Oryctolagus cuniculus: one gene and its partner. The protein of the gene in region 2 purifies or fractionates together with the protein of the main gene of each other region. This does not show direct contact. Links are inferred from orthologs where the notes say so. Each region holds a gene or a part of one and is shown on either strand. Other genes may lie near its edges. The genes, in order: WDR20 and VSX1.

Region 1 (14,735 bases), on a different chromosome or scaffold from region 2:
TCGGAAATCACAGTATTTCCCATCTTGCTTTCCCTAACACCCCACCCCTCCAATTTGAATTCAAGTAGGCAACAAATCCAAGACATAAACATATTCCCCCAACAGAAAAATTACTTTAATTTCATTAAAAAGTTATTGAGATGGACCCAGCATTGCACTGTAGCAGGTAAAGCCACCTGTGACACCAGAATCCCTAACTCTTGTATTTTTTTAATCATTTTTTTAAAGGGGAGACAGAGAGAAAGGTCTTCCTTCCAACGGTCCACTCCCCAAATGGCTGCCACGCCCGGAACTACACCAATCCAAAGCCAGGATCCAGGAGCTTCTTCCCGGTTTCCCATACGGGTGCAGGGGCCCAAAGACTTGGCCATCTTCTGCTGCTTTCCCAGGCCATAGCAGAGAGCTGGATTGGAAGAGGAGCAGCAGGGACTAGAACCGGTGCCCATAGGAGATGCCAGCACCAAGGCGGAGGATTAACCAAGCGAGCCACAGCGCTGGTCCTCTCTCACCCTTTTAAATAAATAAACAAAATCCTAGGAAAAAAATATTGCGCACAAAATCATACAATCTTTAGCACTGAAAAGGTCTTAGGACCATCTAAATACAAGAGCTCTTCAAAGTTTGTGAAAAATGAAATTAAAAGACATGTTTATTTTAGTTCAAGAAATAGAAATCCATGCATACTTTTTCCATAAAATGCAGTTTCTATGAACTTTTTAAAGACTCTCACCTACTGTAGGAATTGTTTCAGTAACAACTCTAGGCAGTACATTTCTGGCCTGGAATCTTCAGATAGAATGTTAGAGGATAAGCTCCTTTGGCTTAGATATTAAGCAATTCTGAGCACAGACATTTCTATAAAAAGTGTTTGTTAGTCAGTACATGGATCCCATAGGTAACGTGATTTCATAACACTAGGTTCAAAGCAATCTGTGGGGGCTGGTGCTGTGGTGGAACAGGTAAAGCCGCCACCTGTAGTTGCAGGTATCCCATGTGGGCGACGGTTCGAGTCTCGGCTGTTCCACTTCCAATCCAGCTCTCTCCTGTGGCCTGGGAAAGCAGTAGAAGACAGCCCAAGTCCTTGGGCCCCTGCACCCGCGTGGGAAGATCCAGAGGAAGCTCCTGGCTTCAGATCAGTACAGCTCTGGCCACTGCAGCCAACTGGGGAGTGAACCAGTGGATGGAAGATCTCTCTCTCTCTCTGGGCAACTCTGACTTTCAAATAAATAAATAAATAATTTTTTTAAAGAAGTAATCTGTGCCATTTGGTTATTTTCCAATACTACTTCTCTTTTTTTTAAGATTTTATTTATTTATTTGAGAGCTAGAGTTACAGACAGTGAGAGGGAGAGACAGAGAGAGAGAGGTCTTCCATCCGTTGGTTCACTCCCCAAACGGCCACAATGGCCGGAGCTGAGTTGATCGGAAGCCAGGAGCCAGAAGCCTCTTTCAGGCGTGGGTGCAGGGGCCCAAGCACTTGGGCCATCTTCCACTGCTGTCCCTGGCCATTAGCAGAGAGCTGGATCAAAGAGGAACAGCCGGGACTAGAATAGGCACGTATATGGGATGCCAGTGCCGCAGGCAGAGGATTAACCTACTTCACCACGGCTCCAGCCCTACTTCATTGTCCCTTGCTACACAATTTCCCAACTTTAAGAAAGCTAAATTTGGGCCAGCGCTGTGGCTCACTTGGCTAATCCTCCGCCTGCGGCACCAGCACCCCAGGTTCTAGTCCCAGTTGGGGCACCAGATTCTGTCCTGGTTGCTCCTCTTCCAGTCCAGCTCTCTGCTGTGGCCCGGGAAGGCAGCGGAGGATGGCCCAAGTGCTTGGGTCCCTGCACCCGCATGGGAGACCGAGAGGAAGTACCCGGCTCCTGGCTTCGGATCTGCGTAGCGCTGGCCGTAGCGGCCATTAGAGGAGTGAACCAAAGGAAGGAAGACCTTTCTATCTGGCTCTCTCTCTCACTGTCTAACTCTGCCTGGCAAAAAAAAAATAATAATAATAAATAAATAAAAAACAAAGAAAGCTAAATCTGTTATCTACCAACAGTAGTTCTAAATGATTTAAAAAGATACAAGCAACTGAGGCTGGCATGGTGTAGCAGGTATGGCTGCTGCCTGTGACATCTGCCACCTGCAACATTAGCATCCCAAACAGGCAGGAGCTAGTTGGAGAACCCTCCAGCTCCACTTCCGATCCAGCTCTCTGTTGATCTGCTGGGAAAGCAACGGAGGATGGCTCAAGTGCTTAGGTCCTGTATCCACGCAGGAGATCCAGAAGCAGCTTTGGGCTCCTGGATTCAGCCTGGTCCAGCCTCAGCCATTGTAGCCATTTGGGAAGTGAACCAGTAGATGGAAGATCTCCCTCCAACCCCCACCCATCTCTTCCTCTCTCTGTGTAACTCTTTCAAATAAATAAATACATCTTTAATTTAAAAAAAAAAATGAGCTACTAAAAACCACCCACGTTACTTTTGTGCTCAAAATTGAAAAGGCTTTTTAGCTTCTGAATATCTTTCTAAAGTTTGGGAGAGATGGTTTTATTTAATCATTCACTCAACACATGTAAGGGCTCAACTCCACTGAGCACTGGGAAAGCAGACAGCAGGAAAGACACCGTCCTTATTTTAAGAGGGCTTTGTGTGTGTGTGTGGGGGGGGGGGGGGGGGGTGCTGTGGTGCAATGGTTAAAACCCTGGCCTGCAGCACTGGCATCCCACTGGGTCCTGGCTCCTGGCTTCAGATTGGCTCAGCTCAGGCAGTTGTGGCCATTTGGGGAGTAAACCAGGGGATGGAAGACACACCTCTCTCTCTCTCTATCTTTCAAATAAATAAAATCTTTACCAAAAGAGAAAGAGAGAGAACTATTTTAAAAAAAAAAGGGGTGGGCACTTTGTGGGGCTGACACTGTGGCATAGCAGGTAAAGCTGCCACCTGCAGTGCAGGTATCCCATCTGGGTGCTAGTTTGAGTCCCAGCCGTTCCACTTATGATCCAGCTCTCTGCTATGGCCTGGGAAAGCAGTAGAAGTTGGCCCACGTCCTCTGCGTGGGAGGCCTGGAAGAAGCTCCTGGCTTCCGATCCGCCCAGCTCTGGCCGTTTGGGGAGTGAACCAATGGATGGAAGACCTCTTTCTCTCTGCCTCTGTGTAACTCTGCCTTTTGAATAAATAAATCTTTTTTTTTTTTTTAAGAAAAGAGGGCTTTGTTTATAGAAGAGATAGATTATCACACAGAGAATTTACAAATTGGGAAAAGTGCTAGGAAAGCAAAGTACAGGCTGCTCTGAGAACTTGTAAAAGGGGAAAACTGACCTATCTTGGGAATTCAAAGAAGGATTTGCTGAAGAAGTGATGGTTAAGCTGAAATCTGAAAGGGGAACATTCCCATTTATGTAAAAACAGATCTCCATAAAATGAGATTGTTCCTATAAACCCAGCTACCTTTAGCATCTCTATCCAAAAACAGGCGTGGGGAATCTTTTCTTCTGCCAAAGGCCATGTGGATATTTATAACAGCATTCACAGGCCACACTAAAATAATCAACTTAAAACTTAGCCTGCCATGGGGAGGGTGTTGTGGCACAACTGGTTAAGCTCCCACCTCCAGCACTGGCACAGGATCACTGGTTTGAGTCCCTGTTGCTCTGCTCCGCACTCAGCTCCCTGCTGATGTGCCTGGGAAGGCAGCAGAGGATGGCCCAACGACTGGGTTCCTACACCCATGCGAGAAGCCCCAGTTGCTATGACAATCTGGGGAGTGAATCAGCAGATAGAAAATATTTCTCTCTCTGTAACTCTACCTTTCAAATAAATAAATAAATCCTAAAAAGGAGAGGAGAGGAGAGGAGAGGAGAGGAGAGGAGAGGAGAGGAAAAGGAAAAGGAAAAGGAAAAGGAAAAGGAAAAGGAAAAGGAAAAGGAAAAGGAAAAGGAAAAGGAAAAGGAAAAGGAAGAAAGGAGAAAGAAATCAGCCTGCTACAGATCCCCTGGCCCTTGGGTCCCGCCTGCGGTCGCCCTGGCAGGCCCAGACCCAGTGATTTGGCAGACGCTTTCATCCACCGCCCAGGACTGCCACGACGATGCAGTGAAATAAAGTGCGGCAAAACGCTGAGGTAAATTTTGAAGTGCTTTGCTTATCAGGTATCTCTGTGACCAAAAAGCGAGATCCGTTTCTTCCTTTTTTTTTTTTTTTAATTTTTTTTAAAATTTATTTATTTATTTTTTGACAGGCAGAGTGGACAGTGAGAGAGACAGACAGAGAGAAAGGTCTTCCTTTGCCGTTGGTTCACCCTCCAATGGCCACCGCGGCCGGCGCGCTGCGGCCGGCGCACCGCGCTGATCTGATGGCAGGAGCCAGGAGCCAGGTACTTCTCCTGGTCTCCCATGGGGTGCAGGGCCCAAGCACCTGGGCCATCCTCCACTGCACTCCCGGGCCACAGCAGTGAGCTGGCCTGGAAGAGGGGCAACCGGGACAGAATCCGGCGCCCTGACCGGGACTAGAACCCGGTGTGCTGGCGCCGCAAGGCGGAGGATTAGCCTAGTGAGCCGCGGCGCCAGCCACTGTTTCTTCCTTATAATCAGTTGAGGCGCCAGCATTGTGGTGGAGTGGGTTAGGCTGCTGCCTGTGATGACAGCATCCCATGAGCGCTGGTTCTAGTCCCGGCTGCTCTACTTCCAATCCAGCTCCCTGTTAATGCACCTGGTTAATCAGTGGACCATTGTCCAAATGTCTGGGCCCCTGCCACCCATGTGGGAGACGCAGATGGAATTCCAGGCTCCTGGCTTCAGCCTGTATCAGCCCCAGTTGTTGCAATCACTCTGGAAGTGAAGCGGCGGGTCGAAGATTGGTCGATCTCTCTCTCCGTAACTCTGCCTTTCAAATAAAACAATCTTAAAAACAAAACAAAACCTCAGTGTACTTCATTTTCCTTACTATGGGAAAAAAAATTATGATACAACTTTGCATCCCCTCAAAAGCCTTAGTTTTCTCTGAAAAAGGTGAAACTACTTAAACTCTAATGTCTGTTCTAGTTCTCGACAAGCCCTATCAACATCCTAACAGTGCTACAGGCAGGGGCTCGGCGTAGCAGCTGAGATGCCAGCTGGGGTGTGGCATCCAGCACTGGAGCTGCTGCACCTGAAGCCCAGTCCCATCCCAACCCCAGCTCTCTGCCTCGCAGATACTGGAAGGCAGCTCCCTGTCACAGACACGGGAGGCCTGGATTTTGTTCCCAGCCCAGGCTGTTGCAGGCATTTGGGGAGTACACCAGCAGATGGGGAGTTTTCTGTCTCTCTAACAAATCAGACAAATAAATGGGACAATACTGTATTCTTCAGGGTAGGTGTCAGACTACTCCCTCATCTATGCCTTCTCCCCAGGACTCCATGCTTCTTTTTTGTTTTTGTTTTTGTTTTTTTGACAGGCAGAGTAGATAGTGAGAGAGAGAGACAGAGAGAAAGGTCTTCCTTTGCCGCTGGTTCACCCTCCAATGGCTGTTGTGACCGGCGCACCGCGCTGATCTGATGGCAGGAGCCAGGTACTTATCCTGGTCTCCCATGGGGTGCAGGGCCCAAGCACTTGGGCCATCCTCCACTGCACTCCCGGGCCACAGCATATATCAGCATATAGTGCACAGCTCAAGATTTAAGTTCTTTAAAGATCCATTTTCCATTCACCTTCCATGTGGATTTAAGTTACATTTACTCATCCAAATTAGACCTTCTGAAGGATCCCAATAATTGTTATAAAATTATATACCTTGAAGAAAATAACTTAAAAAGTTGAAATGGCCAACTGTCAAAAATACATTTATGACTATTAACTCTCAAAAATAAATTTTGGCTTTCTAATTAAGAATAAATTATTTGGGCCAGTGCTGTGGCAATGTGGGCTAATCTGACACCTGCAGTGCAAGCATCCCATTTGGGTGCCAAGTTCAAGCCGTTCCATTTCCGATCCACTCCTGCCAACGCACCTGGGAAAGAGCAGAAGATGGCCCAAGATCTCCCCTGAGCACATGCGGGAGATCCAGACACAGCTCCTGGCTCTGGTCTGGCCCTGCCCTGGCCATTAGGGTCATTTGGGTAGTGGACCAGCAGATGGAGGACTTCCTTCTCTCTCTGCCTCTGCCTCTCTCCCTCTATGTAACTCTGCTTTTCAAATAAACAAACAACTCTTTAAAAAATGAATTATTTGGGGCCGGTGCTGTGGTGTAGAGGGTAAAGTTGCCGCCTACTGTGTTGGCATCCCATGTGAGTGCCGGTTCTAGTCCTGGCTGCTCCATTTCCAATCCAGCTCTGGCCTGGAAAAGCAGTAGAAGATGGCCCAAGTCCTTGGGCCCCTGCACCCATGTGGGAGACTGGGAAGAAGCTCCTGGCTCCTGCCTTCAGAGTGGTGCAGCTCCAGCCATTGCGGCCATCTCGGGAGTGAATCAGTGGATGAACGACCTCTCTTTCTCTCTCTCTCTCTGCCTCTGTCTCTCTGTAACTCTGCCTTTCAAATAAATAAATAAATCTTGAAAAAAAAAATGAATTATTTGTTGTATTTAAAAATTGGAAATTGGCCGGCGCTGCGGCTCACTAGGCTAATCCTCCGCCTTGCGGCGCCAGCACACCGGCTTCTAGTCCCGGTCGGGGCGCCGGATTCTGTCCTGGTTGCCCCTCTTCCAGGCCAGCTCTCTGCTGTGGCCCGGGAGTGCAGTGGAGGATGGCCCAAGTGCTTGGGCCCTGCACCCCATGGGAGACCAGGATAAATACCTGGCTCCTGCCATCGGATCAGCGCGGTGCGCCGGCCGCAGCAGCCATTGGAGGGTGAACCAGCGGCAAAGGAAGACCTTTCTCTCTGTCTCTCTCTCTCACTGTCCACTCTGCCTGTCAAAAATAAATAAATAAATAAATAAAAATTGGAAATTAGAGTCACAAAATCAATCACTTACATGGAAAACAAAAACTTTAAAATTACAATGGCTAGAAGAGTTGAAATGTCTGCCAAACAATGGAAAAGCATCTGTACGTTACTATCACTTAGGAGTCGGCACAGTGGCGTAGTAGGTTAAGCCTCAGCCTACAGCACCACCATCATTGGTTCAAGTCCCGGCTGCTCCACTTTCCAATCCAACTCCCTGCTGATGGCCTGGGAAAGCAGTGGAAGATGGCCCAAGTGCTTAGACCGCTGCACTCAAGTAGGAAACCGGGAAGAAGCTCCAGACTCCCAGCTTCAGCCTGGCCCAGCCCTGGCCACTGCAGCCATGTGGGGAATGAACCAGCAGATGGAGGACCTCTCTCTCTTTCTCTCTCCCTCTCTTTGTGCTCTCTTTGTCAGTAACTCTTTCAAATAAATAAATAAATTTTTTTTCAAAAAAGTTACTCCCACCTCCCACATAAAAGTAAGAATTTACAAAAAAAAAAAAAAAAAACAGGTAAAGTGCTCAAACTATGCATATGAGGGCAACTTATGTATTTCAGATTTGTCTGGGGTTTTGTATTAGAAGTTACTAAAAATAACTTGTTTAAAATAATTCCTTTGAAGCTTTGAAAAGCTCTCTTAGTTTCACCCTTCAGTGAAGAGTGTCCCAATTTAAAAAAGGAGCACTAATATAACGATAATTTCAGGTGTGAAGACCTGTTATTATGGTGCCATCCAGGGATACCAGATCCAGATAAGGTTTGCCATTAAAATCCTTCATCAATACTAATCTTTCAAAGAAATTTCTTTTCAAATAATGTCTGCACTAGCACTGCTAGTGTCAATGAACTTGGTTTTAAGCACATCGCCCTTTCATATAAATACAGCTGTTAATAACCTAAAATCCTTAATTTATCTCCAGAGAAAGCACTGATCCTTGCAGTCCTAGCATGGATGTCAAGATGGCAGCTTCCTGTTGGACATCACTCTTCACGCCTGTTTAACTATAGCTTACATCTGCTAGTGTTTCAGGGCTCTCGAGCTCATTGCAGTGAGCTTATTATTAATTATAACACACACACACTGCAATAGTTCCTTTTTAAAGAGGGGCAGTAGAAACTAAGTAACTTACCAAGGTCACCCGACAAGCTAAGTTGGTGACAATGTTGAGAACAGGAGGAAAACTTGGGCTACCACACCTCAGACTTCCGGCCGAAAGCGGAGGGGGACCGCATACCCCACCGTCAAACCCAGCAGTGCACTAGCAAAGGCTCGCCCCAAGGGAAGGGACAACCTGCTCCATTTAGACAGGGCTGTCAGCTTCCCAGCCCCGGTAAGCAGGAAGAAACACGACCCTGGGTCCGGGTCTGTGAAATCACAGGGCCCGTCCGCTCGTGCCTGTGGCAGGCGCCGTTTCCACACTCACTGCACGTGTACAAACGGTGCTTTACCACGGTCTCCTCGCCCCGCCAGGAGCCAAGTCGAAGGCCACCTCTCAGGGAGGACAGTTACTCACACAGAGAAAGAAAAGCCCTCGCAAATCGCTGCTCTTAAAGAGATCGCTGTAAAGGAAGATCACAGACTCCAGAGTCCCTGCTGAGCCGCCCCAGGAGACGGGTCCTTCACAGCAGCTTTCAGGCACCTCCCTGCCCGTGCGGGACACAGTCCGACTTGTTGGACCAGGCTAATCCGGGCAGGCTCACACAGAGCCCCGCTGCACCAGCTCCGGCCACCGAGAACACCGATTCCAGCCCGCAACCGCGGCGCTCGGCCCAGCCCACCCCACGAGGGGCAGGACGACCCCTCCCCAGCAATCGGCCGGGAGGCCGCCCGGGGCGGGGCGGTGACAGCCGAGCTCCGCGGACGTTTTTGGAAACGGCGGTCGGGAAGTGTCAGTGCGGCCGCAGGTGGAGCAGCCCTGCGTGCCCAGAAGGTCCTTTCCGACCCGCTCCAGGCTGACAGACCCCTCCCCGAGCCCCGGCGGGACTCCCACCCCTCCGGGGAAGCCAGGCGGGCGGGCCGGCCACCTCGCCCCGCAGGCCCGCTCCTGGCCGTGTCAGCGCCCGGCGGACCCCGCCGGAGCCGAGGCGGCCGGCTCCCAGGCCTCCCAGCCGGAACCCCGCACGCCCGGCGCCGGCCCCCGGCCCCCACGCCCTCGGAGCGCCGACGCCACCACCCTGCCCACTCCCGAGCCCCCTTTCCTCGGGAGTCCCTCAGCGGAGTTGCCGGCCCACTCCAAAGTAAGAGCGACGGCCACCCCTGCCGGTCACCCCGGCCCCGCTGTCACCGCCCTGCCCCCGGCCTCCGCCCACGCCGCCGGCGGGCCCCGGTGACGCCCGGGTCGGTACCTTGCGGACCCCCTTGTAGATATAGAAGTAGAGCTCCCGGCCCACATTGAAGCAGAGGCGGTCGCCGTTGCCAGACTGGTCGTTGAGGTTTACGAAGGAGACGCGCACAGGGTTGGATCCCTGCGAGTTGAAGGGCACCCGGTTGGGCCGGCTGTACTCCGAGTGCGGCAGCAGCTTGTACAGACCTTCCCGGGTGGTGAATTGGGTCTTAATCTCGTTCATCTCCTTCCCTCCTCCCTCCGTCGCCATCTTGGAAAGCAGCGTTCATCCTGCCCTAAGTGCCCGGATCACGCCCACCGCGCAGGCGCCGTCCCCGGCGTTCGCTCTCCTCCCCCCGCCTCTCCCCTCTGGCCCCGCCCACCCGCGGGCCAGCCCCACGGAGGCGGGCCGAGGGGACGGGGCGGGCTTGTTTACGGCCCGACTGCGCACGCGCGCTGCCCCGGCGGCTCCACGCGGCGGGGCGTGCGCCGGCTCCTCCCCCGGGCGTCGTCTCGCGGCGCCGCGGCTGCGTCCTGGGGTCGCGGGCTCGGGGTGCCGAGGCGCTGGCGGGGCTGCGGGTGCCGCGGGAGCGCCGGTAAGGGAGAGCCGCGGCGGGAGTGAGTGAGGGCGGCCTCCTCGGCTGCTTCCGGCCCTGCGGCGCTGAGGGGAGGGCGCCGCGCCCCGAGGGGTCGGCTCGTGAGGAAGCCGCGGGCGGCGGGGGTGGCGCTCTCGCCGCGGGCTGGGGGCTGTCCCGCCCCGCGGGCCCGGAGGACCCTCGCGACCGGCCCGTGCCGCGGCCCGGAGCCCCTGCGGCGGAGTCGTGCGGGGGAGGACGGTGTGTGTGGACTGGCCGTCTGAGGCGTGAGGCGCGCGGGGCAGCGCGGGGAGCCGGATCATTCCTGTTGCTTCGTAGCTGCTTAGGCGCCCTCAACGAGATGAGCGGAATTGAGTTTAGAAATGCCCCACGCGGACCCGCGAAGTCCAGGTGTGCGAGGGTCGCGGTGACCGCGGACAGCCGCTGGCGTGCGCTAACGCGCTTCTAGGGTGACGTTCTGATGGCATTCCGGGGCAGAGCCAGTGCTTGCCGCACCGAGAATGACCAGTTCCTGCGTGCTGACGTCGTCGGGGGGTCACCAAGGAAGGGGGTTCCCCCTGGGGGGGAGTCAGAGCCGCCAGCCGGGGTTCACCCTGGGGAGGGGGGAGTCAGAGCCGCCAGCCGGGGTTCACCCTGGGGAGGGGGTAGTGTCAGAGCCGCCAGCCGGGGTTCACCCTGGGGAGGGGGGAGTCAGAGCCGCCAGCCGGGGTTCACCCTGGGGAGGGGGGAGTCAGAGCCGCCAGCCGGGGGTTCACCCTGGGGAGGGGGGAGTCAGAGCCGCCAGCCGGGGTTCACCCTGGGGAGGGGGGAGTCAGAGCCGCCAGCCGGGGGTTCATCCCTGGGGAGGGTGTCAGAGCCGCCAGCCGGGGTTCACCCTGGGGAGGGGGGAGAGGAGTGTCAGAGCCGCCAGCCGGGGTTCACCCCTGGGGAGGGGGGAGTCAGAGCCGCCAGCCGGGGTTCACCCTGGGGAGGGGGAGTCAGAGCCGCCAGCCGGGGTTCACCCTGGGGAGGGGGGAGGGTGTCAGAGCCGCCAGCCGGGGGTTCACCCTGGGGAGGGGGAGGAGTGTCAGAGCCGCCAGCCGGGGTTCACCCCTGGAGAGGGGGAGGAGTGTCAGAGCTGCCAGCCGGGGGTTCACCCTGGGGGGGGGGGTGTCAGAGCCGCCAGCCGGGGTTCACCCTGGGGAGGGGGGTGAGGAGTGTCAGAGCCGCCAGCCCCACCCCACCCCCACCCCCGTGATGGAACAGTGCGGCTGACCTAACCTGCTGAGCCTTTCAAAGCGCTGAAATCCTGCCGGGCTAACAGGTATCTGAAATACTTAAACATTTTTGATAGAATTGTTCTGATGTCTTTTGCCTTTCCCTGAAACTCAGGGCTCAGAACTCTATTTTAAGATGTATTCTGTGCCTAGCATGAGTTTGCCCCAATCTCTGGTAACTGAGTTGTTTTACATAAAAATTGTACACATATAATTGGTCATCTTGAGGGATCATGACATCCTGAATAAAAAAACGCTGTTTCCTAGTTAGCAAGGGGGAGAAGTACAATAACACATTTTTTTTTTTTTTGGTGGGAGAAAAACCTCAGCAAACAAAACAAAAACTTTTTAAATCCTCGATTAACTGCACCATTCTGTTATCCCTAATAGCAGTATAACTAAAGCGTTCTATCAAGGCTTTATTTTATATAGTCAGCATTTTCTGTTGTGATCATAGTAATAGTGGGCTGTTCATTTTTCTCATCCATACAGATGAATAATTTCTGTTTTAGTACTTTTAGTTTCCTCCACACGCATACACACTCAAGGATTCAGTAAAGCCCAAATCTTCGTAGCTGGGTCCATCCTAAAGTTCATTTCTGATTTCCATTTTTTTTTCTTTTCTTTTTTAAAAGATAGATTTGTTTATTTGAAAGTCTGAGTTAGAGAGGAGGAGAGATTCCATTCGCTGGTTCACTCCTCAAATGGCTGCAGCGGCCAGGACTGTGCCACACCAGAGCCAGAAGCCCAGAACTTCTCCAGGTCTCCCACTAGGTGCAGGGGCCCAAGCACATGGACGTCTTCTGCTGCTTTCCAGGTGCATTGTCTGGGAGCTGGATTGGGAGCAGAGCAATCAAGCCAGGATGCCAGCACTTCAGGTTTAGCTTAACCCGCTGCCCCATGGCACTGGCCCCTGATTTTCATTTTCAACCCGGATGTTTTTAAATGAAGCTGCACTTCAAATTCATCAGTCTCTAAACTTATCAGTTCCTTTTCCATTTCAAACTTGAATCATTATAGTAATTTCATAAGTATTTCCTTAATGTCCATTTGTTCTCTCAACTACCAAATCAGTTCTCTTAAAACAGTGCTTTAGACATTACATTCTCTGGTCCAAAAACATTTCATGACTTGTAGTATCTGCATTTTTTTTTAATTTATTTATTTATTTTTTTGAAAGTTATAGAAAGAGGGAGAGACAGAGCCTCTGTTCACTGGTTCACTCCACAAATGGCTACAACAACTGGGGCTGGGCCAGGCTGAAGCCAGGAGCTTTATCCAGATCTCTGATGTGGGTGACAGGAACTCAAGCACTTGGCCCATCTTCTGCTTTCCCAGGTGCATTAGCGGGAAGCTGAATTGGAAGTGGAGCAGCTGGGACTGAAACTGGCTCCCATATGGGATGCCAGCATCGCAGGTGGCAGCTTAACCGGCTCTGCCACAGCACTGGCCCCAGTATCTGTGTTTTTTAAGTCATGCACCAGCAGCCTGTACTTTAAAGGTTGCCTAAATCTTTATTCTAGTCATACTGTTCTGCTATCACTCTTAACTTTGTGACTTTGTCCCTTCTTCCTTTTTTCCTTCATAGCTTAGTTTTTTGTTTTTTGATTTTTTTTTTAGTTTTATTGCACAGAGGCAAACAGATCTCTATCAGCTGGTTTGCTCCCCAGATACCCGTAACAACCTGAAACACAGTCCTGGCTTGCCACATGGGCAGCAGGGATCCAAGTACTTGACCCATCTTCTGCTGCCTCCCAGAGTCCAAATTACAAGGAAGCTGGAATCAGCAGAGCTAGGACTTGAACCAGGCACTCTGATACAGGATGCAAGGATCTCACGCAGCAACTTAATGCACCAAATTCCACCCCAGAAAGTGACATTTCATCAAAAACTTCAAAGAAGTAAGGAAGTATGCCATTGGAAAAGCTAAGAAAAGAATAGACCAAGGAGGGGCTGGCACTGTGGCGTAGTGGGTTAAGCCGCCGCCTACAGTGCTGGCATCCTATGTGGGCGCTGTTCGAGTCCTAGCTGCTCTACTTCCTTTCCAGCTCTCTGCTATGGCCTGGGAAAGCAGTAGAAGATGGCCCAAATCATGGGCCCCTGCATCCATGTGGGAGACCCAGAAGAAGCTCCTGGCTCCTGGCTTTGGATCAGTGTAGCTCCGGCTGTTGCAGATGGAAGACCTCTCTCTCTCTCTGCCTCTCCTTCTCTCTCTGTGTAACTCTTTCAAATAAATAAATAAATATTAAAAAAAAAAAAAAAGAGAGAGAGAGATTAATGAATCTTAGACATACTCTGAAGATAAAGCCACTAGGATTTGCCAGCAGACTGGATGTGGCTTTTGGGACAAATGAGAAAGTCAGAAATAATGTAGACATAAGCAGCTAGAGGATGGAAAAGCCATTAACTCAGATAACGGAGGCTGGGGATGGTCGAGAATTCAGCTTGAACACACTGGATATGAAGTATCAGGCATTCGGAGGAAATGTCCAGGAGGCTGTTGGAGAAGCAAGTCTCGAGAGTTCAGAGCTGCTGACGGGTATTTGGCACTCATCAGCAGATAGGTGGTATTTAAGGCCTGGTTGCTGTCAGCCGAAGAGTGAGTGAGGATAAGAAGCAGGACTGAGGACTGGACACTGGGGCAGTCCAAGAGCCTGGCCAGAAGAGTAGGACGATTTACTGATAACCTGAAGCATCCTGCTTTTTTTTTTTTTTTAATTTTTTTGCAACAATATGGATATTTCAGGCCAAAATTACCTTTTTCAGATTCAAAGTAATCCAGTAAGATACTCAAAACTTTTAACTTTGAGGAAAGTTTTGCTACAGTAACCCTGAGAAAGAAAATAGGCATAAATGGGTATCCTTAAGAACCACATTTGAAATACTTGCTGACTCAGTAAGTAAAGTAACCAATTTTAGATTTATCTTGTTGGACAAGCTTATTCTATTATTACAGATCTATTTATTGTACAACCATTATGGGATTTGAAAAGAAATTTGGAAGACATTATATAATATACTGTCCCTAATATAGCATTCCTACTTTGTACAATGTTAAAATTGATACACCATTGGGATTGCTAATTTTTTTTTTTTTTTCAGATTTATCTGTTTGAAAGGCAGAGTAGTAGAACACAGAGAAAAAAACAGATCTTCTGTCTGCTGATTCACTCCCTAGATGACCAGGCCAAAGACAGGAACCTGGAACTCCGTTCAGGTCTCCCACATATGTGGCAGGAGCCCAAGCACTTGAACCATCGTCTGTTGCTTTCCCAGGTGCATTAGCAGGGAGTTGGATTGGAAATGAAACAGCTGGGACTTCAACTGGCACTCTAGGATTCCAGCATTGCAGGCAGTGGTTTAACCTGCTGTATCAGTTATGTTTTGTTTTGTTTTTGGCAGGCACAGTTAGAAAGAGACAGAGAGAAAGGTCTTCCTTTTCCATAGGTTCACCCCCCAAATTGCCACTACAGCCAGCGCACTGCAGCTGGCGCGCTGCACCAATCCGAAGCCAGGAGCCAGATGCTTCCTCCTGGTTTCCCATGGGGGTGCAGGGCCCAAGCACTTGGGCCATCTTCCACTGCCTTCCCAGGCCACAGCAGAGAGCTGGACTGGAAGAGGAGCAACCGGGACAGAATCGGCGCCCCGACCGGGA
Region 2 (14,763 bases):
GGAGTGTGACCACCCATGGGGATTGTGATGAACCATGGTGAGTGTGTCCAAGCATGGGAATTGTGACCAACCATGGGGAGAATGACCAACCATGTGAAGTGTTGACAACCTCAGGGAGTGTGACCAAGCATGGTGCGTGTGACCACCATGGGGATTGTGACCAACCATGGCGAGTGTTACCAACAACGGAGGTTATAAACACCACAAGGGTTGAACAATCATGGACAGTATGACCAACCATGGGGAGTGTGACCAACCACAAGGGGTGTGACCACCAACGTGGGTGTGACCCACTTAGGAAAGTATGACCAGCCACAGGGAATGTGACCAACCATGAGGGGTGTGACCAACCATAGGGAGCATGACCACCACCAGGAGTTGACCAACCACAGGGAGTGTAACCAAGCATGGGGAGAGTGACCAACCACTGGGAGTGTGACCAACCACAAGGAGTATGACCAACCACGGGGAGTGTGACCAGCCATGGGGAGTGTGACCAACCCCAGGGGAGTGTGACCTACCATGGGGGGTGTGAACAATCACAGGGAATGTAACCAACCACAGGGAGTGTGAACAACTATGGGCAGTGTGAACAACCATGGTCAGTGTGAACAACTATGGTGTGTGTGAAATCTGCCTCAATAGGCAGAAAATGGAGCAGTGAAAGATTAAAACTTTTAGAAGCCTTCACATAAATAAAAATTAAAGACAAAAATAGCACTAAGCACAAACACATGTGAGAGACCTCCCCAGCTTTCTCATCTCCCCATGGTGATGCTGCTGTTTCAAGCCTGATGCTCAGGGTGGGGTCCCAGACTCTCCACTGACAGTGCCGTGCAAAGTAGATGCCAAGGAGACTTTCCTTACTAGGGGTGACACAAGGAGGAAATATGTTGATGGAGGTGACGCACTTCTCATACCTGGCACAGAGGAGGACTCCACTTACAGGGCCACTTGTTTTAGCACTGATATATAATATTTAGCACTCGTGGGGCCGGTGACATGGCTCACTTGGTTAATCCATCTGCAGCGCCGGCATCCCATATGGGCGCTGGGTTCTAGTCCCGGTTGCTCCTCTTCCAGTCCAGCTCTCTGCTGTGGCCCGGGAGGGAAGTGGAAGATGGCCCAAGTGCTTGGCCCCTGCACCCACATGGGAGACCAGGAGGAAGCACCTGGGTCCTGGCTTCGGATCGGCGTGGCTCCGGCTGTAGTGGCCATTTGGGGAGTGAACCAATGGAAGGAAGACCTTTCTCTCTCTCTCTCTCTCTCTCTCTCACTGCCTAACTCTGTCAAATAAATTTAAAAAAAAAAAAATTTAGCACTGGTATATAATACTTTTCAGGAGTATTTTCTCTTTGCTACTGTTCTCTTTGTGGTGCCAAGCTGACTCTTCCCTAGCCTCCTGGCTGGCTGGTGGCAGATTTCCTAGCACTGAGCTTGGGTGTTGCCCAGAGGGCCTCAGAGCATCTGGGGGTGACTGGGTGTTTTTGGGCCCAGGGCATGCTTGCTCAGCAAATGAGGACACACAGTTCACTGGAAGTCCTTGGTTCTAGAATCCAGAGGCATCAGAGCTCCCAGGGGCTTGTAAACAGACATCCCAGGATCCTCCCACTCTGGGGTTCTGGGTCAGTAGGGCCAGATGGGGCCCTGGCCTTGCTGTCCTCACTGGTTCAGAGCTGATACTGCTAGCCCAGGGCCCACACTTTGAGACCCACTGATAAATGGTCAGGGGACCACTTCCAGGAGCCACGACTTGGAAGGTAGACCGTGTGTTTCTAGGGGCTATCAGAAGACACGGCTCTGGACACCTGAGGACATACACAAAAGGACCAAAGGGAGGGGCAGACAAGATGGCCTCAGGAGCACCAAGTTACATGATGTCTAGAACTTTCCAGCTGCGGTAGGGTCATCCGGGAAGGGCCCATGGCTGGGAGCCGCTTGGGCTGGGCTTCAACAGGTAAGGGACTTCTGCTCATACCTGGCACTGTCAGTGTTGTGTTAAAACACGGGCTCCTGCTGTGAAGGGGAGGAGGGGGGTCTCTGTCCTGTTCCTGGGTCTGGGTGGGCTTGGGGCTACTTAGACCAGTCACACGCTGGTGAGCCATACATGTGATGCGACTGCTCTTCCATCACCAGCAAGGAAGGAGCTGGGAGTTGGTGTCACCATGGTGAGGAGCAACAGGGATGTGCTCCAACAGGGACCACGGTGGCTGTGGGACAAGGAGGGAGTGGGGAGAGCATGGAAGAAGTAGGAGGGGCACCAGACAGTGACAGTGTTCCTGGCTGCAAACCACAGAAAACAGGTGCATCCAGCTGACACAGAATCGAAGTCATAATAGCTGTGCGTCGTAAGAAGCCAAGAGCAGTCAGCAATGGCCGTCACCATCAGTAGCTGGAGGTGATCTTGGGATGGAGGGTGGAGAGCTGAGGACAGTTCCCAAGATCCTATTCTGGCCCCTGGGGTGGGGGCGGGGCAGTGCAGACTGGAGAGGAAGCAGCTGGATCCAGCTCTGGGTGGGCTGATTCAGTGCTCCTGGGAGACCCTAGGGGACAAATGGGCAGGAGACCATTGGAGATGGGGACCTGGCTGCAGGAGCAAGTCCTGGGCTGGATATGGACCTCAGGACCTTTGCTGGGCCGTGATGGTTGCACCATGGGTTTCTGTGTGTACGTGTGGTGGTGGTGGGGAGTGGGAGAAGCACCCAGGTTGATGCTGAGTGGGCATTGCAGAAGTCGTGCAGGGCAGGTACTTCGGGGAACCCCAGTGGGAAGTGAGATGGGGACAGGAAGCCTCCCAGGTTGAGAGCTTCAAAGGCAGAGCCTGAGACAGGGTCTGGAGGCACGAGATTTATTGGAGGTGAGGAGGGAAGGAGGTCCCAGGAGAAAGGGAGGCCAGAGATGGGGCGGGGAAAGGGGCTGAGCAAGGCTCGGACTTGTGGCCTGACCCTCGAGGAGAGTGGATTCTGGAGAAATAACTACAGAGCTGTCCCTTATTGAAAGGGGAGGGGTGGTCTCACATGGTACCTCGTATCAGTTGTCATATGTGGGTGTGTGCTTGTGTGTGTATGTGTGTGTTTATGTGTGTATGTGTATTGTGTGGGTGTATGTGTGTTCATGTGTATATGTGTGTGCTATGTGTATGTGTGTGCATGTGTATGTGTTTGTGTGTATGTATGCATACGTGTGTTTATGTGTGCATGTGTATGTGTGTTTTGTGTATATGTATGTTTATGTGTGTGTATGTGTATGTATTATGTGTATGTGTATATGTATGTATGTATGTATGTGTTTACGTGTACATGTGTATGTGTTTTGTGTATATGTGTGTATTGTATGTGTGTGTGTTTTTATGTGTGCATGTGTGTGGTTTTTTTGTATATGTGTGTCTGTGTGTGTGTTCTGGATCAAGGAGTTTTGTCAGTCCAGGGCAATTCTCTCTCCATGAGCGGGCAAGGTGAGCTGCTGGCAGCCCACATTCCAGAAGCTGGGGAAGGTGCCCCCAGGGTCCCTGTCTGTGGGGAGCAAGGGCACCAGGGAAGGAAGCCACGTGGGGCTTGACTGCAGCAAGGAACTGCACCACAGTCCTGCTGGGTGCCTCTGGGAGAAGCAAAGGATGCAGGCTGTTGATAATCCAGCCTGTGTTGGTCTGTGGTCCAGGGCTGCTCACACCTGGTAGTTCTTGGCATCTCAGGCTGGCGGACAAAGTGGACTTAGCCTAGAGAAAGCGGCTGGGCCAGGTGCAGGTTGGGTAGCCAGGCAGGAGATGGGGACGGGGCACAACAGTGCCTGCTACAGAGGCTGTAAGGAGGGCTCAAAACCCAGCCAGAGGCAGAGGAGAATCAGACGGACAGCAAAGCCAGGGACTCCCAAGGTGGCGCTTCTTCCCACCCTGGCGCCCCACGGACTGCTGGCCCCGGCCAGTTTGGCCCATCCAGTCCCAGCCTGGAGCTGTGAAGAGCCCAAACGCACCCAGGCAGGACCGATCCTCGAGAGCCAGTGGCCGGGCTGGAAGCCGGAGGCGCACTCGCGGTTGGGCGATAGAGAGGGCTTGGAAACCTTCCCTGGAAATAATGAGTGGAGAACCCCTTTACTGATTAGTTAAATCCCGGATAATCCTGGCTGATGAAGGCAGAGCCAGACCCCTTAATGGATTTTTAGGGTTCCAAAACGACTTCTTGGGAGTGGCCCCGGGCGATTGGCACGGGGGGTGAGGAGCAGGGAGGCTGGGAGGACCCCATCCTCCCGGCTTCCAAGGCTCAGAGGCGACCCCCAGAAGCGGGAGTACAGGTGGACGCAGCCGCCTGTGAGGCGCCCCGCAGACACGCAGGAGTTGGAGCCCTTCCTCCATCGCTGTGCATACTGAGCGAAGCGCTTGGCACGGCTCTGTACCCCTGGAGATGGGTCCCTGAGCTGATCAGCTGGGGTTAGGGATGGGGTCAGCGCTGGGTCCGGCCGGCGGGAAGCGGTTCTCGCCAGCCAGAGGTACCGTGCGTTCGCCGCCGCCACCCAGCCGGACTGGAATCCAGCCTGCCCTCTACTCGGATCCCCAACGCCCCTAGTGCCTGGTGGGGCTGGAGACGGCGTTAGGCGGGGAACTACGGACGGCCTCAGCGGCCCCCACCCCATTCGCGGTCTCTGCGTCCCCTTTCCACGCATCTCTCGCAGTGCTGCGCTTGTCCCAATTTCTCTTTGAGCGTCCAGTGGGACCAGGTTTATTAGGCTGTTTCTTTCATACGCAAAATGAGTTTGGTAAGATCCTTCGCTGGCCCCAGGCCGGGGTTATCTTGCGGAGCGACCGAGATTGGGATGACCTTGCTCGACCTTTTGTTGTCTGTGCGTCCCTGGCCATCTCCTAGGGGTCCCCAGGCAGCAACTGGGTGCGGAGGAGAGACAGGGGATCCCAGATCCTCGAGCAGCAGACGGTGGCGTGGGCCTCCCGGGCTGCGGACGCGGTGCACGCGTGGGCCAGAGTTCCCTTGAGCGTGGGTCACCTTGGGGCTCCTGTCCCGCCTCTCCGCCCCGGGGCCGGGCTACAGAATGTGTAGAATCGTGGGAGTTTCGCCCAACTGGGACCCCCAGATTCGGCTCTACGAAGGACGACGCCTCAGAGGGGAGCTCTTCGGCAGGGACCGGCGTCCCCAGAGCCTAGTCCGTAAACCCAGAGATAAATTTGGAGGGGGAGGGGAGAGGAATTCCTGGCCGAGCTGAAAACAACGCTGGCGTCTAAAGCCGCTGCCGCCCCCGCCCCCGCCCCCGCCCTGGACAATTACCCCAAAGGAAAGTTATTGTTTTGCTAATCCCAGGAACAGCTTGCCAGAGCAGATTTGGATCTTCCTTTAATAATGGAAAGTTAATGCGTAGCCCCTTGTAATTATCTCGATCGGGAGGCCCGCGTGTAATCCGCTCGTTTAGCTGACGCGCGGCGAGCTGGAGACCGGCTTTGCAAGCTCCGCGCTGCGCGCAGGCAGCCGTGCCGCACCCGGGAGATCCGGAGGGTCCCCCTGGCTCTCTCGGAGACCCCTGGCCGTGGGGACTGCGAGAGACTGCTTCCAGGGCTCTCGGACTGGGCCCAGGGCTCAGAGTCACAGGGATCGGGTGGGCTCAAAGCCCGATCCAGCAAGCGGCTTTACTCACTTGCCTGCTTTGGCGCCAACTCGAACAAAACGCAAACACAACTTTCTTTCAATAATCCTAAAACCTGGCCACGGTTTGTTATCTCCGGTGAGGACTGCGCCCCAGGAGGCACTTTTTAATTCAACTTCCGCCACCACCGTTTAAACGTGTTTATATAAAACGCTGGTACATATATATTTAAATAAAAATAATAATTGCTTATCTGAAATTCTGACTTCACCTGGCCTCTGGCCAGGCACCCTGCTCTGTGATCCACGCCCTTCCCCCAGCGCGTGTGGGTTTTCGACAACTCTCCACCCACCCACTCTAGTGTGGGTTTGGCTGCAGGCAGAGAGCAGGCACGGGTTACTTTTTTTTTTTTTTTTTTTTACTTCTTTCCCCATGGGGATTTTCAGAGGTTCCTGCGGTGAAGTTGTAGGGCGAGCGGGGATCACTTTGGTTGTGGATGGGGGGTGCGATGCGAAGGGGCCCTAGGAGTTCATGGGTCGTGTCCAGTAAGCGTGGAGGATCTGGAAGGAAGGGAGGCTGCGCCTTGGACCCACAGGCAGAAGGAGAGTTGTTTTGTCCCTGCCCACACACACAACCCCCCTACCCCCACCCCCACCCGAGAATAGGGCCGGGGCGGGCAGGGGACAGCTGGGGAGAAGAGGGACTAAGGGAGCGACCGCGGGGCCCGCAGCTGCGGGGGCGGCGACCGAGGGGAGGGGAGGGCCGTCGGCCGCATCCCGTCTCTCGGGGTCCCTAACAGCGACGCGCCCTCGCCCAGCTGATTGGAGTGGGCAGCCTAGCCGTATAAAACGTCCTCCGAGCTGGATCACCAACCCAAAGTGACCCAGAGAGGGTCGAGCTTCGCCTCCTGAGACGACATGACCACCGGCGGCGACGCGATTCCCGACGCGCGCGCCCGGAGTCGGGCGCAGGTGCCGGGTCGGTCCCCCAGCGGCTCGCGCCCACGCGGCTTCGCCATCACCGATCTGCTGGGCTTGGAAGCCGAGCTGCCCGCGCCCGCGGGCCCTGGGCCGGGATCGGGCTGCGAGGGCCCAGCGGCGGCTCCGTGCGCTGGCCCCGCACTCGGCGGCTCCTGCCTGGCGCGCGGGGCGGTCCCGTTGGGGCTGGGCCTCCTCTGTGGTCTGGGTGCACCACCGCCCGCCGCCGCTCCGGCGCCCTACCTGCTGCTGGCCGACGTGCCTTTCCTGCGGCCGGCGGGGCCGGAGACAGCCGCCCCGCAGCTCCCCGGGCGCCGGCCGCCCGCGCCGGGCAACCAGAAACTCAGCGAGAGCGCCTCGACGTCCGGTAACCAGGCCCTGCTTTTCTGCCCCTGCCCCTGATCCCGGTGGCTTCAAGCGCGGTCGCTCTCACTTGCGGTCCCGGAGCGCAGGGAAGTCCGGATCCCAGTGGGAGGCGTAATCGCGCCGCAGCGCCGCGGGCCCCAGGGGGAACCCCAATTCTCCAGAATCTGGTGCCCACAGCACTGCAGGGGCCAGATGGAGCCTTGCGAGGAGATCCTGGTGTCTCGGCCTCTACCTCCGCGCCAGGAGCGAGCGGGGATCGGGAAGGCGGGGGCGGGTCCTGTCTACCAGCTGCACTGGCTGCGGGCTGGCAAAAGCTTTCGGGGCCGGGTGCCCAAGAACTGTCCGCCTCTGGGGTGCTGAAAAGGGACCGCGCGCGGAAGAGAGGACGCTGCCTGGCTGAATGAATGCACTATGGCTAACCACAGCGCTGTGGCTAACCTGCGTTTGGTTCTGGGTGCACCTGTCACCCCCAAATCCAGGCAGAGTATGGGGAAAGAGAAGGAAGCGGTGAAACCCCGTAACTGACAAGGACCAAGAAATGGAGAGGCTTGCGTTGCTGGGGGAAGACGAGGGAGAACTACAAGGAAAATGAGGATCTAGGTACCCACGACTAGAACCTAGAAGGGGCAGCCAGGCAGGCAATCCCAGCAAGAAAGTGCCGCGGGTATCGCCAGCCTGGAAAGAAAGCTAGGCAGTAGGCTGCACTTCAAGAGCCTCTCTGTGACCTGGAGTGACCACAACCCTGGCTCTTTTACTTGTTTCCTTGAAAATGCAGAAACCGATTTCATAGGATGGGTTCTTTTTTCCACAGACACTGATAAGAGAAAAGGAGAAAGGAATTAAATCTTGCTTTGTGGGGACATTTCTGGGAGAGCTGACCTGAAAGACATACCCTGTGACCACTTGTTGCATGCAACTTTGTCTTCAAAGGAAAATAGAAACAAGGGGGATTAATTTAAATGCTATATTTTAAATCCAAGGCATGCAAATATCAGTATCAACACTTTACATGCAATCAATATAAAATGTTTTACTTTGTCCACTGAGTATTCTGTGCTTACAGCAGATCTCAACCTGTTTAGCCACGTTTCACTAATGAGCCAAGTGCTCATTAATATTATGTGGCTAGTTGCCACCAGGTTAGCAGCATAGCATGGAATCCTATGTCCAAGCATTTGGTTTTCTGGTGAGCTGATGTAGAAGGATCTAGTGTTATTTTATTATTTTCATCTTTATTCATCCTTTAAAAACATTTGAAGTGGGACAGCAGGTTAAGCCATTGCTTGTGATACTGGCATCCCACATTGCAGTGTTGGTGGATGTCTAGGCTGCCCTGTTTCCCAACTAGCTTCCTGCTGATGGCTCTGGGAAGAGTCTAAATACTTGGACCCCTGCCCCACCTATGTGGGGTAATGGAATGGAGTTCCTGGCTCCTGGCTTTGGTCTTGCCCAGACCTGGCTGTGGGAGTCATTTGAATGAAATGGCAGATGGAAGCTCTCTCTCTTGCTCTCTATTTCCCCACACCCCCATCGTTCTGCCTTTTGAATAAATAATTATTTTAAAAAACTTGAAGCAATTATACTTTTAAAATTAAAATATATATTGATTTTATTTATTTCAGAAGTAGACACACACACACATGCAGAGCCAGACAGGACTCCCATCTACTAATTCACCCCCCCCCCAAATGTCCACAACAGCTGGACCTGAACAGACTAAAGCCAGGAACCAGGCATTCAATTCAGGTCTCCCACATGAGTGAGAGGGACTTGATTACTTGAGCCATCACCTGCTGCCTCCTACAAATTACACTGACAGGGAGCCAGAGCCAGGACTCAAACCCAGACGTTCCAATGCCCCCACTGGCATTATAATTGCTGAACCAGACACCTGCCTGCAATCATTGTTTATAAACCATGGATCCGACAATACTCTGGTCTTCTTGCCTCTCTTTCCATCTGGACCTTTTGATGTGATGGCCATCAAAAGATGAGGCACAAGTGGAGTGGTTCTCCCAGGGCATCTGGGAACCACCCGACCCTGCCTCCAGGGGTTCTGAACAGGGTGCAGCTCTGTCGCCTTCACCTTCTCTCCCTGTGAGGGGTGTTGGTATGGGGGTTAAGAGGAGGAGAGGGGAGGCACAGGCAAGTGAGTGGATCTAGAGGCTGTGGGGACAGACAATGCAATCAGTGGCTGAGTGGCTTTGGCTGCACACACTCTGGCATTTGAATTGCAGCTTCACCATTCACTGCCTGTGTGATCTCAGGACAGTCACTTAGTATCTCTGTGCTTTGGTTTCCATGTCTGTCAAAACAGGATAACAGCAGCGGGGGGTGGGGGGGGGGTGGGTGGGTAGAGTTTTTATGTTTTATGGAGGACTGACATAAGGTGTGGACGTTGGACTCTAGTGAGTGCTAGCAGTGTGGGTTTGTGTAGGCAGATGCTCATATTCCCAGTAGGATTGTGACTTCAACCCTCACATAAAATCCAGGACACGCAAACAAGCTTCATGGCTCTCTTCTTGTCTTTGTGCGGGCAGATGAGGACAGCCCGTCTGAGGAGAACAGTGACTTGAAGGAGTCCCCCATTCTGGGCAAGAGGAAGAAGCGGCGGCACAGGTACAGGGTGGGCTGTTCTCTCTGGCCACCTTTCCTGGGGACCCCGCACCCGAGGACTCATGGCCCTGGGATATGGCAGCGTCCCTTGTAACTCCTAGCGGGCAGGAGGAAGGGCACAGTATCCACCAGGGGGCGATAAGCCTCCAACTCCCAGGAGGCTACGGAACAATCTTCCCAGCAGGCGATAGCCATGGTTTTGTGCATCTGTAAGATGGGTCTTGTCAAAACGAACGGATGAAATTCATTTAGAAAACACGAAAGAATTGTCTTTGTTTGAAGCAGGCTCTGGTTTCTATGGAGGCTGATGGCTAAGAGTGGGATGTCCAGTACTCAGGATGTGGCTTTTGGGCTTGAGCATCATGGTGATGGTGGGGAGCAGTAGGTGGGAAGCCTGCCTTCCCGGCGTGGACTTGAGTGTGTGCTTCTGACTCTCCACAGGACGGTTTTTAGTGCCTTGCAGCTGGAAGAGCTGGAGAAGGCGTTCAGCGAGGCCCACTACCCTGATGTGTATGCCCGGGAAATGCTGGCCATGAAAACTGAGCTCCCAGAAGATCGAATCCAGGTGTGTATGTGTTTCCCACACAAGCCACAAGGGGGCGTGCTATCCCCCACCTGGGCGAGCGCACCCACAGCCACCCCCCACAGCACAATGCGTAGCATCCTTTAGCCAAAGGCACCATGAGAAGATTGTCCCTGGGATCCTCCTGCGTTTTGTCCTTTTACTGTTATTTACTATTGAATCATTCTTTAGATTTCCACAAGAACGTGCGCTAGAAACTGCGCAGATATATCACTGAGAAATCATGGGACTGTCGTCCTTTCTAGAGAAATCAGCTGTCACGATGTGCTGTCATATGGGATGAATGTATGGGCATGTAGGTGTATCCAGCCCCAAAGGGTGACCTGCACACTCATGCACACATATACAATTGCGTGCACACCCACACTCAGGCACACACACGCACGCACGAGAGACTTTTGTTCTCTGTTTTGCCACAGCTGTCCCTAACTCACTCATTTTTTTTTGTTTGTTTGTTTTGTTTGTTTGTTTTTGACAGGCAGAGTGGACAGTGAGAGAGAGAGACAGAGGGAAAGGTCTTCCTTTGCCGTTGGTTCACCCTCCAATGGCCGCCACGGGCGCGCTGCGGCGGGCGCACCGCGCTGATCCGATGGCAGGAGCCAGGAGCCAGGTGCTTTTCCTGGTCTCCCATGGGGTGCAGGGCCCAAGGACCTGGGCCATCCTCCGCTGCACTCCCTGGCCACAGCAGAGAGCTGGCCTGGAAGAGGGGCAACCGGGACAGAATCCGGCGCCCCGACCGGGACTGGAACCCGGTGTGCCGGCGCCGCTAGGCGGAGGATTAGCCTAGTGAGCCGCGGCGCCGGCTCCCTAACTCACTCATTTTTAAAAGCTGCAGCAAGCCCACAAGATTCATTTTACAAACTGCTCCAAAGAACTTTTCCCCATTAATGAAAACAGCAAACATCCGCAGCCCACGCCTTCACCCAAGGCAGCGAGGAAAGAGAGCTTTGATGTCATCGTGCCCATTCCGGATTGCAGAGAAAGCCCTCCAGCCCCCTGCTGGAGCTAGCAGGGCATGCCTGCCCTGCACGGGTGGGAGGCGGACCCGCTTTAGAACTCAGAGCAGGGACGGTTCGGGTCTGCCAGACCACCCTCCTCACCACCTACTCTCTCTGTGTCCTCTCTTGCCTCCATCCAGGTCTGGTTTCAAAACCGGAGGGCCAAGTGGCGCAAGCGGGAGAAGCGGTGGGGCGGCAGCAGCGTGATGGCCGAGTACGGGCTGTATGGGGCCATGGTGCGTCACTGTATCCCGCTGCCTGACTCCGTGCTCAAGGCGGCTGAGGGCGGTCTGCGCGGGGCCTGCGTGCCCTGGCTCCTGGGTAAGGAGAAGGCCCTGGTGTGTGTGTTTGTGTGCATTTGTGTGTACGTGCATGTATGTGTGAACGTACACGCACACCCAGCACAGCCGCTGGTGAAGCAGAGCAATGTCCATGGACACAAATTCAGGCACAGAACCTTGCCTCTAATGTCTGGTGAGTGATAAGGCCTGCAGTGGCTGAGAGTGCCTGATCATTTAACCTAGACACGTGCAGGCAGTGCGTGGAAAGATCCTGTCCAGCTGTTCACAGCTGGGGAACTTATTCGGAGTGCACCTGCGTGTTGAATGCTGTTAGAATGTGTAGAAACCATGTAATTCCGGGGCACAGGTTATAAGAACAGGGCATTGCTGAGCCAGAGACCTAGAGCCAGGACCCTACCCCTGCCCCTGGTTCTGGTTCTGGTTCCGCATTCGCTGCTTTGTGTCTTCTGGGCTGCAAATCTCCTGGGCAGGTCCAGTTTTTGCTTCCCCCAGTGGCGTTGTAGGTTGGGAAGGAGTAGGTGTCTTTGTCCAGCAAACACATCTGGAATATCTACCCAGCAGACTGGTGCAGGAATTCTGGTGTTAGTACTCAACTGGGCTCTGGCTGGGTCCACACCAAGGAAGAATGAAAGACACAGACAGGAAGCAGTGAAGAGCAGAGGCTGCAATGATAAAGGAAAAGGCAGAGAAAATCCTAGGCACCTAGACAGGCTCCTAGAGGAGGAAGCTGTCTGGCGGGCTTTGAGACAGAGTTTTAGCTTGGTAAATGGTGACTTCTTTCGATTGGCTGGCTAAGATGTCAATCTTGCAAGTAAGCCATCAGCCAGTCATCAGGTTCTTTAGCTGTTGTCAGCTGACTTGTTGCAGAGTTCTGGGCAATGAGCTAGATCTTTGGGCTGCTGGAGCAACCTCCCCCACCATGTCTCACCCTGTTCTCTTATTTTTTTTTTTTAATTATTTTTATTTTTATTTTTTATTTTTTTGACAGGCAGAGTGGACAGTGAGAGAGAGAGACGGAGAGAAAGGTCTTCCTTTGCCATTGGTTCACCCTCCAATGGCCGCCGCAGCCGGCGCGCTGCGGCGGGCGCACCGCGCTGATCCGATGGCAGGAGCCAGGAGCCAGGTGCTTTTCCTGGTCTCCCATGGGGTGCAGGGCCCAAGGACCTGGGCCATCCTCCGCTGCACTCCCTGGCCACAGCAGAGAGCTGGCCTGGAAGAGGGGCAACCGGGACAGAATCCGGCGCCCCGACCGGGACTGGAACCCGGTGTGCCGGCGCCGCTAGGCGGAGGATTAGCCTAGTGAGCTGCGGCGCCGGCCCTGTTCTCTTATTGACAGCAGGGGCCAGTACCTTGCCTGCTTGCCAGACTGTAATCTCTTCTCATAAAGAGACCAGAGAGAGAGAAAATGAGGCAGGAGGCCATGCCCACCCATCTGAAGTAGGGAGCCTGCTGGCAGAGCTGTGGGCACCTAGGAAAGTGCTGAGTCACTGTTATCCAAACAGAGTACCTTTGGTGCCGGCCACTAGCCGGCAGCCCTAATGGTGGTAAACACCACCTACCTGACCCTCCCGTAGGTCCCAGAGATAGGCATCGACAATGACAATTTTAAGGAAGAAATGTACTAATTGCTGAATTTTAAGGTGTGTATTTTGTTCTTTTTCACAAGGGATGCATAAAAAATCCACGGAGATGGTAAGGAAACCAGGAAGTGAAGACCGGTTGGCACGACTCTGGGGCCCTGACCATCTCCAGGAAGGCTCCAGCCAGAGTCAGGCAGGGCAGCAAAGAGGCTTGGACAAGGAGAGCTCCAAGAATGCCTTGGAAGACGTAGCCATGGATCTCTCCAGCTCTGCCCGGCAGGAGGCCGAGGAGGTGCAGTGTGCGGCAGGTGCCCGAGGCTGCTCCGACTCCACAGGGCTGGACAGGCTGCAGCCCAGGAAGCTGGGAGCCTCGAGAGACCCACAGGTCCCAGCCACAGAGGCTGCAGAGAGCTGTATCACCCCAGGGCGTTTTCAAAAGAAAAAAGTGGTCTGAGACAAATATTCTCATTTTTACTTTCTCCTTATGCAACATCACCTACTTTAAGAGGACAGATGGGTGACTTAGGGAAAATCCCATTGCATTCTAGAATGGAGACTGTTCCTTGAAGGCACATGAACCAGCAAACTGGGTGTAAAATTCCGATTCTGTTTTGTAGAACTTGATCAGGGATCTGCTGCTGGGCACCGTTTGAGATGTTCACATACAGTGTATAGATTAATAGGTTAGGGCTGACGTCTGAGCTCTGAGTTTGAAAATACGAATACCTGTGACCTTGGGAAGAATCAGATGTCTTGGTAGTGAAGACTCCGTGCAGACCCACGTGTGAATTCTAGTATCTTCATCTTGAACTTGGCCTTGGCTATTTCCCCTCTCTTGTTAAGGGGATGCTTCTGTGTTCTTCCTAGCATCATTTGCCAGGCTATGTGCAGTGGGACTGATGAACAAAACAGCAAGAGAATGAAAGCCATGTTTCCTCTCCCCTTCCATATTGCAGGAGGCCATATTCAGCAGCTGTTGGCCAATGCAGAAAGGGTGTTTCAAGGTCAGACCAGTCTCCTTGGTCTTTCAAAATTTATATTTGGAAGCACTTTAGTGACTTGGGTTTCATGAATGTTTCCTTTCCTGGGTTTCCTTTGTCAATTATTTATTATTTAAAAATAAATGTTCTGTGGAGTGTTTGCTGTTAAGTGCTATCAATCACTGCACTCTTTCTATCAATCACTGTACTGTTTCCATCAATCACTGTTCTGTTTCTTTCAATCACTGTACTCTTTCTATCAATCACTGTACTCTTTCTATCAATCATTGTACTCTTTCTATCATGCACTGCACGTCTCCACTATTGCCAATCCTCTGGTAGCCTCTTCCCTCATATGCTTTTTGATTTTTAAATTTTTATTTTATTTATTTGAGAAAGACAGAGACAGACAGAACTCCCCTCTGCTGGTTCACTCCCCTGCAAACTCAAGAGCCAAGAACTCAATTTAGGTCTCCCACGGGGTGACAGGAACACAATGACTTGAGCCATCACCTGCTGCCTCCCAGGGTGCACATGAACAGGAAGCTGGAAGCAGGAGCCATGCCAGGATTCAAACCTAGGCTCTCTTATACGGGATGGGGGCTTAAGCACCACCCCCAAATGCTTGGCCTGCTTATGGCTTTTTAACCTCGGGAAGGCTAAAGCAGCCATTCTCAGGCTATGCACGTACCAGGTGTTGCTTCGTAAACAGTGGCCATGTCTGATTCACTTTTGGGAGTCCAGAGAGAGATCACATCTTGTTAAGGGGGACATGTGG

What was found.
Region 1: the proteins of VSX1 (region 2) and WDR20 purify together in Homo sapiens (affinity purification with mass spectrometry; 3 studies listed by BioGRID and IntAct, with this or other methods). This does not show direct contact. The link is inferred for Oryctolagus cuniculus from reciprocal best matches to the Homo sapiens genes VSX1 and WDR20.

The regions. Positions count from the first base shown.
Region 1 is NC_091451.1:45,403,110-45,417,844, reverse strand, and holds the start of WDR20 (WD repeat-containing protein 20), read right to left. Parts: upstream 9,657-14,735; 5' UTR 9,500-9,656; coding exon 9,251-9,499; intron 8,569-9,250; exon of another isoform or gene 8,419-8,568; intron 1-8,418. UniProt on the Homo sapiens protein: Regulator of deubiquitinating complexes. Activates deubiquitinating activity of complexes containing USP12. Anchors at the base of the ubiquitin-contacting loop of USP12 and remotely modulates the catalytic center of the enzyme.
Region 2 is NC_091442.1:49,512,989-49,527,751, reverse strand, and holds VSX1 (visual system homeobox 1), read left to right. Parts: upstream 1-6,006; 5' UTR 6,007-6,500; coding exon 6,501-6,927; intron 6,928-9,466; coding exon 9,467-9,545; intron 9,546-9,983; coding exon 9,984-10,107; intron 10,108-11,263; coding exon 11,264-11,444; intron 11,445-13,091; coding exon 13,092-13,459; 3' UTR 13,460-14,137; downstream 14,138-14,763. UniProt on the Homo sapiens protein: Binds to the 37-bp core of the locus control region (LCR) of the red/green visual pigment gene cluster. May regulate the activity of the LCR and the cone opsin genes at earlier stages of development. Dispensable in early retinal development.